2 linked regions of the Caenorhabditis elegans genome follow. The protein of the gene in region 1 interacts with the protein of each later gene in a pairwise test. Each region holds a gene or a part of one and is shown on either strand. Other genes may lie near its edges. The genes, in order: F53G12.4 and slfl-5.

What was found.
Region 2: the proteins of F53G12.4 (region 1) and slfl-5 interact in a two-hybrid assay, tested with the Caenorhabditis elegans proteins (2 studies listed by BioGRID).

The regions. Positions count from the first base shown.
Region 1 is NC_003279.8:132,563-137,791, forward strand, and holds F53G12.4 (LisH domain-containing protein), read left to right. Parts: upstream 1-1,774; 5' UTR 1,775-1,791; coding exon 1,792-1,866; intron 1,867-1,943; coding exon 1,944-2,019; intron 2,020-2,986; coding exon 2,987-3,336; intron 3,337-3,672; coding exon 3,673-4,150; intron 4,151-4,646; coding exon 4,647-4,720; downstream 4,721-5,229. Other genes in the region: mex-3 (K Homology domain-containing protein), read left to right, coding at 50-131, 852-1,020.
Region 2 is NC_003283.11:12,240,927-12,246,890, reverse strand, and holds slfl-5 (Tr-type G domain-containing protein), read left to right. Parts: upstream 1-1,846; 5' UTR 1,847-1,860; coding exon of another isoform or gene 1,861-1,890; 5' UTR 1,891-1,942; coding exon 1,943-2,004; intron 2,005-2,182; coding exon 2,183-2,582; intron 2,583-2,630; coding exon 2,631-2,861; intron 2,862-3,354; coding exon 3,355-4,110; intron 4,111-4,175; coding exon 4,176-4,290; intron 4,291-4,358; coding exon 4,359-4,561; 3' UTR 4,562-4,920; downstream 4,921-5,964. Other genes in the region: rad-50 (Zinc-hook domain-containing protein), read right to left, coding at 1-44, 92-202, 258-306, 1,235-1,245; ttr-22 (Transthyretin-like family protein), read right to left, coding at 4,979-5,244, 5,293-5,461.

The sequences.
Region 1 (5,229 bases):
TTTTGCGAATTTTAATAAGAATTTTAAATGACAAATAAGGATTTTTCAGAAATTCTCAGCCGCAAGTACGATGCCCTGTCCGCATGGTCGTCGATGGGATTGGAGAAACGCGAGGAATCCCCAACCAATGGGTATATATTTTTGAAGGAATTTTATAAATTTTTGAAATAAAACTAAAAATTGCAATTTTCCTTCAAAGTTCTAAATTTTTGAAAGAAAATTTGATTTTCCGCTAAAAAATTTAAAAAAAAAACAAGTTTTCGTGTTTTCCACTCGGAACCTGACGGCTTCTTATCAATTTTTTAAATAAAAAATAACGTTTCTAAAACTCAGAATGTTTAAAAAATTTCACATTAAAAAATTATTTTTCCGAAATCTTGAACCTATCCGTTTTTGAAAATAAAAAAGAGTAAAATCGTAGTTTTCTCTATAAAAATTATAATTTTCATTTGAAATTCAAAAATTTTTAAATAAAATTGGATTTTGTCCGTCAGAAATCTATAAAAAGAAAATTTTTTTTGAACAATAAAAGAAAAATTGTAATTTTCTTTTGAACTTCAAAAAAATATGTTTTTTTTCACATGCAAAAAATTGATTTTTTCAAAACCTCGTTTTTGAGAGAAAAAGGTGAAATTCCAATTTTAAGAGGTAAAGTTAAATTTATTTATTTTATGAGAAAAACTTGAAATTTAAAGGAAAATTACTGAAATTTACAATTTATCATACATATTTTTTAATTTCGACATATCTCGAAATATCAAGTCGTAAATTTTTTCCACAAAAGTGTGATATTCTCTTTAAAAACTAGAAAATTTCAATTGTAAATTTATGAAAAATCAAATTTTTTGCAGGCTCATGTCCTCCCTCAAAGGAACATCCGCCGGCTTCGGTCTTCTCAGCACAATCTGGTCTGGCGGAAACATGAATCTGAGCCCAGGATCGTTGGCTTCAGCATCTGCCTCGCCGACTTCATCGACCTGCGATCACAACGATCATACTCTCGTGCCGATCAATGGATAAGCTGTGGATCCATTCATCATTCCATTACTATCGTGTAGACTCTCATCTAGCAAAAACCCATCCTCAACGAGTTCCAAATTCATCTTTCCATTCTTTAAAAGACTCTTTTTCCCATTTTCTACTTTGTTCATCGGTGTACGAGTCCCTCCATTCCCATTTTCTCACCTCTTTACTACATTACTAGAACACACAAAAATCACCATCATTCTCACCCCAAAATCCTAGACAAAAAAAACGAAAAAAATCACATATATTTATATATAACTATTATTATTTGTTATTCATATTTTTGAAATATCTATATTATATATATTTATATATGTAACCCATGCAGTCCCCCAATATATATTCCTACAGTAGGTTTTTTTGGAAAATCTGTAACTTTCTCTATTATTCTTTTTTGCATTATGATAGGACGACCAACTCATGTTTTAAACAAAAATTATATATATTATAAGGATTTCCTCTTTTCTCTCTATCTCTCACCTAGTGTTTAACTCCCAATTTTCCCCCTCTCTACTACGCACAACTAACGGAGAATTGAGAGGCCTTTTATATTTATAGCACCTCTTTATAATTAAAAACTCGAGTGATCCCCACCTCACCCATCAAATTTATCGTATTTTGTAAAAGTTCTGATATATTCCACAGATTTTGGTGTATGTGAATGAAGCGATTCGTGTCGTCTCTCCATATTCTGGTATCCATAGCAACTCCCCGAGCTTTTGGCTCACTCGCGCACGCCCTATACTATACCTTTACTATTATTAAATGCACTCAACAAATCCTATCCTGCGTCAATTGGCCGATCAATTGTCCGAATTGCCACAATATGCACCATTGCGGGTAATAATAGCACAATAGTTGAATATATTAATAATTCAAAAATATTTATTATATTTTGAGGTGTCCCATTGTTTCAGACATATATCCGCGCGACGATAAGTGCCACGTTGGGGGAAACGCCAAAGAAAACGAGTAGGGATTTGACGTATAGAGGTGAAATTTTTAGAAAATTTGAAATTTTCTGAAAAAAAAAGGATTTTTCTTTTATGAAAAATGCTCTTTTCGCCAAAAAAATCACAATTTTCGACTTAAAAACTTCAAAATTTTTTCAGGAACACACAATTCAAAATACAAAATATCTCGTAGCAAAAACTACAGTAATTCTTTAAATGACTACTGTAGAGCTTGTGTCGATTTACGGGCTCAATTTTAAAATTAGATAAAAATGAGAAAATAAAGACACGAAGAAACGAATGAAAGTGTAATATCGAAAATATTCGAAAATAAATAAATTTCAAAAATCGAGTCCGTAAATCGACACAAGAGCTACAGTAGTCATTTAAAGAATTACTGTAGTTTTCGTTACAAGATATTTTGCGCGTCAAATATATTGTGCAATATGCATTTTCAGAATTTTGTGTTTCCGTAATAGGTAAAATGTCAGAAAATCAAGGATTCAGTGCAACCCCGCGTTCTACGGGTATTTTGGCCACGGCCACTTTTTGCAAAACTGCAAAATAGGCGTTGTTATTTCATTTTCTGAAAAAAACATTGAAAATTATTATCGAGAAAGTACGATCTGACAAATTTCTCATAATTTATTTTTGATCTACCTGTTGAACTTTACTCCGCCCCCAATCTTGTTGCCGTTGTTATTTTGTTGTAGCTGTCTTGTCGAAGGACGGGGAGGAGCCTAGTCAACAAGGTAGATAAAAAATATATTATGAGAAATTTGTGCGATCGTATTTTTTCGATTATATATATATATATATCTTCATGTAATTCTCATGAAATCTTGAAAAAAAACGCGACACATGGTATTACCACGCCCACTTTTTATAATTTGAGCGCGTGCAATTTTTTGTCGATAACATAGTTTCTATTTAAACAAAAAACATCGTGCGCCCACATTGAAGAAAATCCTATAATTGGGCGTGGCCTTAACTCTGAAAATTTACAGAACGTGTCACCCATAGCATGATTGCCGATTGGCTCGAGCAGAATGGATATCCAATATCATCTCAAGTCTTGAAAACAGAAATGTCTGGAAACTACATGGAGAGTGCAGAAAAACACGTGGAAAATGGGGAAAAAATCGATAATCTATTGCGAAGTCAGCTGAAAATCGATATTCGCGATGGCACCGGTGACGATTTTGAACGAAAATCGATAAAATCGATTGGCGCCGGCCGCCCGTTTGCAAAAATTAATATGGTCGATAAACAGCGAGCACCGTTGAAAATTACACCGCTTAGTGATGAGGAATTTCGAAAAACGATGCGGAAACGGATGGAAATGGAGAGGGAACGAGTGAGTTGCGTTAAATAATTTTTTTTTGAAATATTTAACAAAAGTCGACAAGGCGATTTTTTAAAATCGATGTTTCGCGACTTTTATTCAAAAGAAAAATTTCAATGCCCTAAATCACTCAAATGATGATTAAAAAAGTATTTGCGCGCGCGCGTAAAATTTAGTGCCAGCGTATGACACTATGTGGTGCAAACTTCACTCCGGGTCCGACACTTTTTGGATTTTGCGCATCGCTATAAAGATTTCAGATCGCGGCGTGAGAGCGGCGTTTGCGGCGCCGACATGAGAGTCCTACTTTCCTACTTTTCTTGGCAAAAAAATCGATCGATTTTTCAGCTCGCACGTCTATCCAACCAGGCAGAAGACGATTCCGACGATTCATCGTCCTCCTCCGACTCTTCCACGTCATCCGCGTCGTCATCTTCCGAGGAGAAGTTGACTTTTTCGGATATCTTGGGGAAACCCACAGCAGCTGGCGCGGAGAAAATGATCGAACTAAGCCAAATTCCCAACGCATGGGGTCCGTCAAAATCCGCGTTAGTCACTGATGACGTGGCAAGCACTTCTGACCCACTTCCGGCGATTTTCAACGCACATCTTCCGCCGCTCTCCATGGGACGACCACCGCTGACAAAAAGCGCGAAAAGTCGGGAAATCGACGCCATTTTCGGCTCGGATAACGTGGATTATGATTTAGAGGATTTCGAGCAGGATGGCGTGGCGAAGAAAAAGTCTATACTGCCTATGGAGAAAAAGAAGGAGGAAGCGAAACCAAAGGAACAGGAGCTAGTGGAGCCGTTGGTCTTGTCAGAAGGTAACTTTGAACTTGCACCATGCAAAAATTTCGAAAAATTATGCACGTGGTCACTGGCTGTCCTTTTGCATAAGCTTGAAGCAAACGCGCCTCATTGAGAATTCACGTTTGCGCCAACTCTCGCTATCCATTGGGCGTGAGAGACGCAGATACTACTTTTTTCTCTGAACGTGAAAAACGCAAAGAATAACCGTTTTGCCGTCTGCATCTCTTCTTTCACACGCTATTTTGGCTGTGGACGAGGAATTCTCCTCTTCCAGGATTTTCTAGGCCATTTTCTCATATTTCTCAAGTTTTCTCGTCCGCGAGAAAACGTGAATTTTGAGACAGCCAGCGAGCACGTGATTATGCAACTCTCCTAAAAATCGATCATTGTTCCTGTAGCTTATAATTTTAAAGGCGCATATTCCGCTTGCGGAGCAAAAGTAAAAAAAAAACATGCCTCTACATACAAATCGATGAATTTCCTGAAAAATCAATAATAAAAAATTTTCAGGAGAATCAATCGACGAGCTTGAAGATTTCGACACCGGTCTACTATCTTCCGGAGGATCCGATTATTCTTTTTAAAATTTTCTTCTTTTAAAAAATTTCTTTTGAAATAAATAAATTCTCACCTAGGAATTTCAACAATTCAACTTGAAAAAAGTTCGCGCAAACTACGAACAAATGTGTGTCGAGCGGGCGGAGCCACTGAGAAAGAGGAGCAAAATGTACACAAAACCATATTTGAGTGTAATTTTTCAAAGTTTGGCGCCGATTTTCTGTGAGAGATGAGTTTTCTCAATTTATATTTGGTTATTTTTATTTTAGTTCTTACTGGTAAATTTCTGGGTAAGTCCTGATGACTTTGAAAACGAAAAAAACTCTTTCATTGATGCTAGTGCGATTGCTAGGAAAGCAACTTTTCAGTTACCAAGAAAAAGTCCAAGGCCATAGGGATTAGCTGCGTGGCATAACAACTCATCCATCCTCGCAGATGCAAATCCGCTCTATTGGCAAATAACATGGAAGAGTATAAACATTTTCTCTTCCACACGGAAACCTAGTCCCCTTGGGGAGCGGTAGTGCCCACAACC
Region 2 (5,964 bases), on another chromosome or scaffold:
GGCATTTGTCCGGTGGTTACAAAGTTGAGTGCCTCGATGGTGGTCTGAAATTTAAAAAAAAGTTATGATGCTCTAATCATATTGATCTTACCGTTTTTCCTGTTCCATTTGGTCCACTGATTAGTGTGCACGGAGAGAGGAAATCAATTTTGTGAACATCGTGGTCCTCATCACCGACACTTCGAATTCCTCTGATGTGTAGCTGAAATTTTCATAAATTTAGTATTTTCAGAGTAAAAATAAATTTGCAGACTTACGCGTAAAAATTTCGCCATAAGCAATTCCCAGGCTTCGATAAGCAAATATCTGAAACATTCTCATTTGCAAATAGGTTTATTCAAAGAAAAATGTTGCGAAATTAAATTAATATATTGATTCCGTTGGAAACTCTGGAAAAAGGACTAAGTAAAGTGAAATTCCTGAGTATTTTCAATTAATTCCTGTGTAAAGTGGGCCTTCTGCGTATTTTTAATTAATTTTTGCGTAAAGTTAAACTCTTGCATGAAGTAAAAAAACAGAAAAAAAACAATTTCGAAAACTGACAAAAAAACAGTTTCCGATTCAAAAATAGAGCGCAAAAACAAAATACGATGCTCCGAAGTTCCGCAAGCGCGTGTTGTTTAACCGAAAGAAGATTTCGATTTTTTCTTTTCCCTCTGCTTTTGATTTTGAGCTTCATATTAATTTCTTCATTCTGAAAATCACGAAAACTCGGTAAAAGCTTCCTGTTTATTTTAATTTTTGGCAATCATGAAATTTTTTTTCAAATTCTCACATGGTTAAAAAACATCAGTCAAACGATTGATAAGATATTTTCCGAACAACTGATAAACTCGTATTCTAGAAATCGTACAAACGGTTTTATTGTTGTTTATTTTGAACTGAACGTTTTTGTCTAAGGAAATGCATCATATTGCGTCACATCGAATGTTGTTCTTAAGAGTAAGGAAATATTTCGCAATTTTCTGCAACATTCTTTAACGGCTGTGTTCGGTCATTTTACTTGTATTTAGGGCTACTAACAGCCCCACTTGTATTATTATTATGATTTTACCTTTCGTTCCAGAAGGCTGAAATTTTAGAAATTCTGAGTAAGACTAACTTTTATGTTTTATTCCAATATATTTACTGTTTAAAAGTATCCTCCATTGTCACCTGGTATTTAGAATGATTATTAACCTGTCGAATGCACCTTCAAAGATCTCAATGCCCACCTACGTGTGAAAACACTTACTTCCTTCTCATTTCCGTCCGATCGTAATCAAAAAGAAACAGGTTTTCCTCTCTCTCATCATCTGTCTTCCAAGCTTCAACTTCAACCTTCCTTCAGTATCTTCTTATTCTTCCAGCTGTCCACTGCCAATCAGTAGGTTCATATTCCCGTAAAAAATCGCCATTTTGTCTGGTTTCTTTTGATTTGAACGCTTCTTTTCATCTCATTCCTCTCTTATTCTCTCATGTATTTGCTCAATCATTCAGCATGCTCACTGTGAAGCTTGTGTGTGCATAATTTCTTTTCATAGAATCGAGCGACGTGGAAATCGATATTTCTCACTGTTCCTTTTTTCAATATTGACAAATTTCCAGTTCAAAAGTCAACTTAACTTGTTGTTATGTTCCTCTCCGATTTTTTCTGTCTTATTTTCTTCTTTCGAAAACAACAGCGGCTCCCCTTTCCCACTTTTTTCTCTTCATACGTCAATTCTCTAAGTTCTCATATTTCTCTACAATCTCTACATGTTGACCGAACCAGTTAACAACTGACTTTTCAAAACCTCTCGAAACACGACATTTTTTTCTCAAGTACCCGAACCTCTCTCCCTATGATTAAAATTTGATGTTCCAGAATCGGAGAATCGAATGATAGATCGAATACGGCGTGAGCAGTAGTTATCCAACTGATTATCTCATTTCATAAAATAATAAACAACTCAATCTCACTATGGATTTTATGATTTCACATTTCTGCGATGAGCAGAATCATCAGCCACTTTACAAAACTAGGTGAGTACGATAAATATTGTGTGGTTAACATTTGAAAATTTTATTTCTAAAATCAAAATTCATTTATTTAAATTCCTTATAAAAAATAAATCAATTCTAAAACATTGATATAAAATCAATTCAATTTATTTAATGTCGCCAAATCATTTAAGGTAGTATATTATATTATTTTTTACAGACGACAATCAATATCGGACTCTAAAAATGGACCAACACTTCTCAGCTCTTCACTGCCAACTAACGATGAATGTTCCGACTCCGACACCGAAAACCGATTGCCACCTGAAACGGAGCTTGGAAATATTGAGTACAAAGCAAAATTAGTAAATCCAACGACATCTCGTATACAACATCTGATCACTCAAATGAAATGGCGTCTTCGTGAGGGTCAAGGAGAGGCTATTTATGAAATTGGCGTTGAGGATGGTGGAATAATGTCTGGATTAACAGACGAGGAACTGAATGATTCACTTCGGACCTTGAGAACGATGGCCCAAGCTCTTGGGGCGAGTATGGTTATTTTGACCGAGAAAGACGTTACTGTTAAGGGATCAAATTCACGGAGAACTGTAGTCGAGGTAATTATTATTGAGTCATATTTTATCTAAATGAAATTATTTTTCTAGGTACTTGTCCGAAAGGTTCCTGAAAGCCAGCAATTCATCGAAGTTCGTCTTGCTGTCGTTGGAGGATGCGATGTCGGAAAATCAACACTGTGTGGAGTGTTAACACAGGGTTGTCTGGACGACGGAAACGGAAAAGCAAGAATTGGAATATTCAGATTTCCACACGAAGTGCGAACAGGAAAAACCAGTTCTGTCTGTAATGATGTCATTGGCTTCGATAATCGTGGAAAGGTTAGAAATTTTTCGAAACATTCAGAATGGGTTAAAATATGCTTGAAAATATTTAAAAAAAAAAACAGTAAACTGATTAAATTGTAGATAATTTCTTTATTGAAAATTTTAAAGTTGGATCCTATTTATTAGGGTTTTTGATTTAAATAATTAAAAAAATGGACGGTAATACCGAATATAATTGTTTCAAAAAATCATAAAATTTTTATAATTTTTTCAATTTTGCAAAAATAAAAAAATAAAAATCTGTTTTTGAATTCCCGCCCAATTATCAAAAATAAAAATTTAAAAAGTTAGAAAGATTTTATAACTTTTAAAATCAATTAAAATCGATTATTACGGTCAATTTTTTTTTCATTCAAAACAAAATTTCAAAATGATTCTACTCCACTTTTGAATACAAAAACAATGAATTTAGAAAAATTTTATTTGAAAAACTTAAATTCGATTTTTTTAAATTTATTTATAAATATCTAATTTTTACTTTTTTCAGCTAGTCAATTATGCACAAAATAGTCTCGAAGAAATGGTGGAGAAGTCTTCAAAACTTGTAACACTTATCGATCTGGCTGGAGACGCAAAATATCAGAAAACGACAATTCATGGATTAACCGGATACACTCCTCATTTCGCTTGCCTTGTTGTAGCCGCCGATCGAGGAATCACGTGGGCCACTCGTGAACATCTTGGATTAATTGCCGCTTTAAACATTCCAATGTTTGTACTGATCACAAAAATGGATCTAGTCGATCGACAAGGACTTAAGAAAATCATCAAAGATGTTTCCAATCTTGTTGCGAAAGCAGGGATGACAGCTCGCGAGAAAAGAGTGAAAACTAAAAGAGACGCAGTGAAGGCGGCACAAGAACTCTGCGTTGGTAGTATCGTACCAGTTCTTGCTGTTAGTTCAGTGAGCGGAGAAGGTTTTCGTTGTCTCAGAACACTTCTCAATTGCCTTTCTACAGCTGGAACTGCAGAGTCACGTATTCAACTAGTTGGACTCCCAGCCTTTTTCACAATCGAGGAACTATATAATGTGCCTCATGTTGGACAAGTAGTTGGAGGAATGCTATCTGAAGGACAATTGCATGAAGGAGCAGATGTTCTTGTTGGACCCATGAAAGATGGAACTTTTGAAAAAATTACTGTCGGGTCGATTCGAAGAAGCCGGCAAGCCGTAGGATGTGTTAATCCTGGTGAAGCTGCATCGATATCCTTGAATCTTCCAGACGGTGTCAGTCTAAGAAGGGTAAGTATTTTTTTCCACAGAAAAATCATTCGAAATGTGAAACATATTGATTATTTTCATTAAAGGGAATGGTTCTTGCTGAAATCGATCATCAACCACCAGTTTGTTACGAATTCACTGCCAATCTTTTACTGCTGTGTCACTCGACGAAATACATATGCGAAGGATTTCAAGCCACAGGTGAGTACTTTTTCTCATTTCAACTTTCAGTTTTGATTTTTTCTGAAATAATTTATGAACTTTTTCAGTGTTTATCGGAAGTGTCTGTACAACTGCCATTATTACTCACATCGACGATGCAGACTGCATCCGTCCAGGAAAATGGGCTGTAGTTAAAATGTGTTTCGCCTATCAACCAGAAGTCATTCGTGAAGGATCACCAATTATTCTTCGTCAAGGAAAAACCAAAGGAATGGGAGAAGTATTAAAAGTATTTCCGTGCACCCAATGATAATTGTTAGTCTGAAAATCTCTAAATTTTACTGCCACCCCCCCCCCCCCCTCCCAATTATCTTGTATATTTTGTGTAGACCTCTTTTTTGTAGTCTTTTTTCACTCTCTCTCTCTTTGCCCTCTCCTCCTAGGTACCCGTGTGTTTACATTTTGCTCCGGGTTGATAATAGTTGTACATAGTTGAAATTGTACAATTCTGAATATTTGTTCACTAAGTGAACCTTTTTGTCTCCAAAAATACTCTAGATCCTCTTTTTTCTCTTCTTCCAGGTGCCCCCACTCATTCTATTCATTTTTTGTAGCATTTTTTGCGCTACTGCTTTTTTAGTTACAATTTTAAAAATGAACTGAATTCACTCTTCCTAGATGTCCCATTTCAATTATTCTAGAAACAAATTTATTAGGAAGTACACATTCAATGGATACAATCAGTGGTTTCTCCACTGAACTGATTAGCTAAGTTCAAAGTTCCAATATCATAATTATCAGTCGAGCTACTTCCAGATGCAACTGCATAATCAGGAATATTGATTGTCACTTTCTTTGAACATGGTCCATTGTAATTACAACTATGATATATATTCACTTTTGGATCCAATGTTAAAATATCTGTATATGTTCCAGAAACAGAAAATGTTCCATCAGATGAGGTGGTCGTCGAACCTAATTTCGAGTCATATACTGAAAAAATCAATTGTTTCAAAACAGTTCTTCCAAATAATAACTTACTCGTTCCATCGTCATACATCTTCACGAGAACTCCACTGGCTGGCTGTCCTTCACAAACCAATTTTCCCGTTACAGTAACACTTTGAGTGCTTCCGATAACATTGAGTAAAGCATCGGAGCAATGAATCAAAAAGAAAACAGAAAGAGCAATATATGTAATTGAAAACATTGTGAACACAAAATTCAGAGTGATTCTTGTAAGACATTTATATACTGTCTACAAGAAGTAAATAGAAACACAGTTCGAGTAAATATAGTCGTTACAAATTGTTACTTTGCTCACTGACTCAATAATTGTCACTTAAAATGAAATCATAGATCAACGACAAAGGATATAATTGGTTCTTTTTAGATAATTCTATTGTAAATATCAACTTTGTTCAACGACTAAAAGTCCATTTTAAATTTGGTGAAACGCCAATAGTAAAAACTTTTAAAATCACTATATGATGCTCACAACGGTAGAAATGACTCAGTTTTCACATTTCATAGTTTTGAAGGTTGACCAAAAAACTTTTAACTTGGATTACATTAAATTAATTTGTAATTGATTTGTAGGGTTTCGAACATACAAGAATGCTTAATGTGATAAAGTTTAAACTAACTTTAAGAACATACTGAAAATTACAAAAAGTGTGAAACATGCTAGTGATTAAAAAATAAATATTCAGT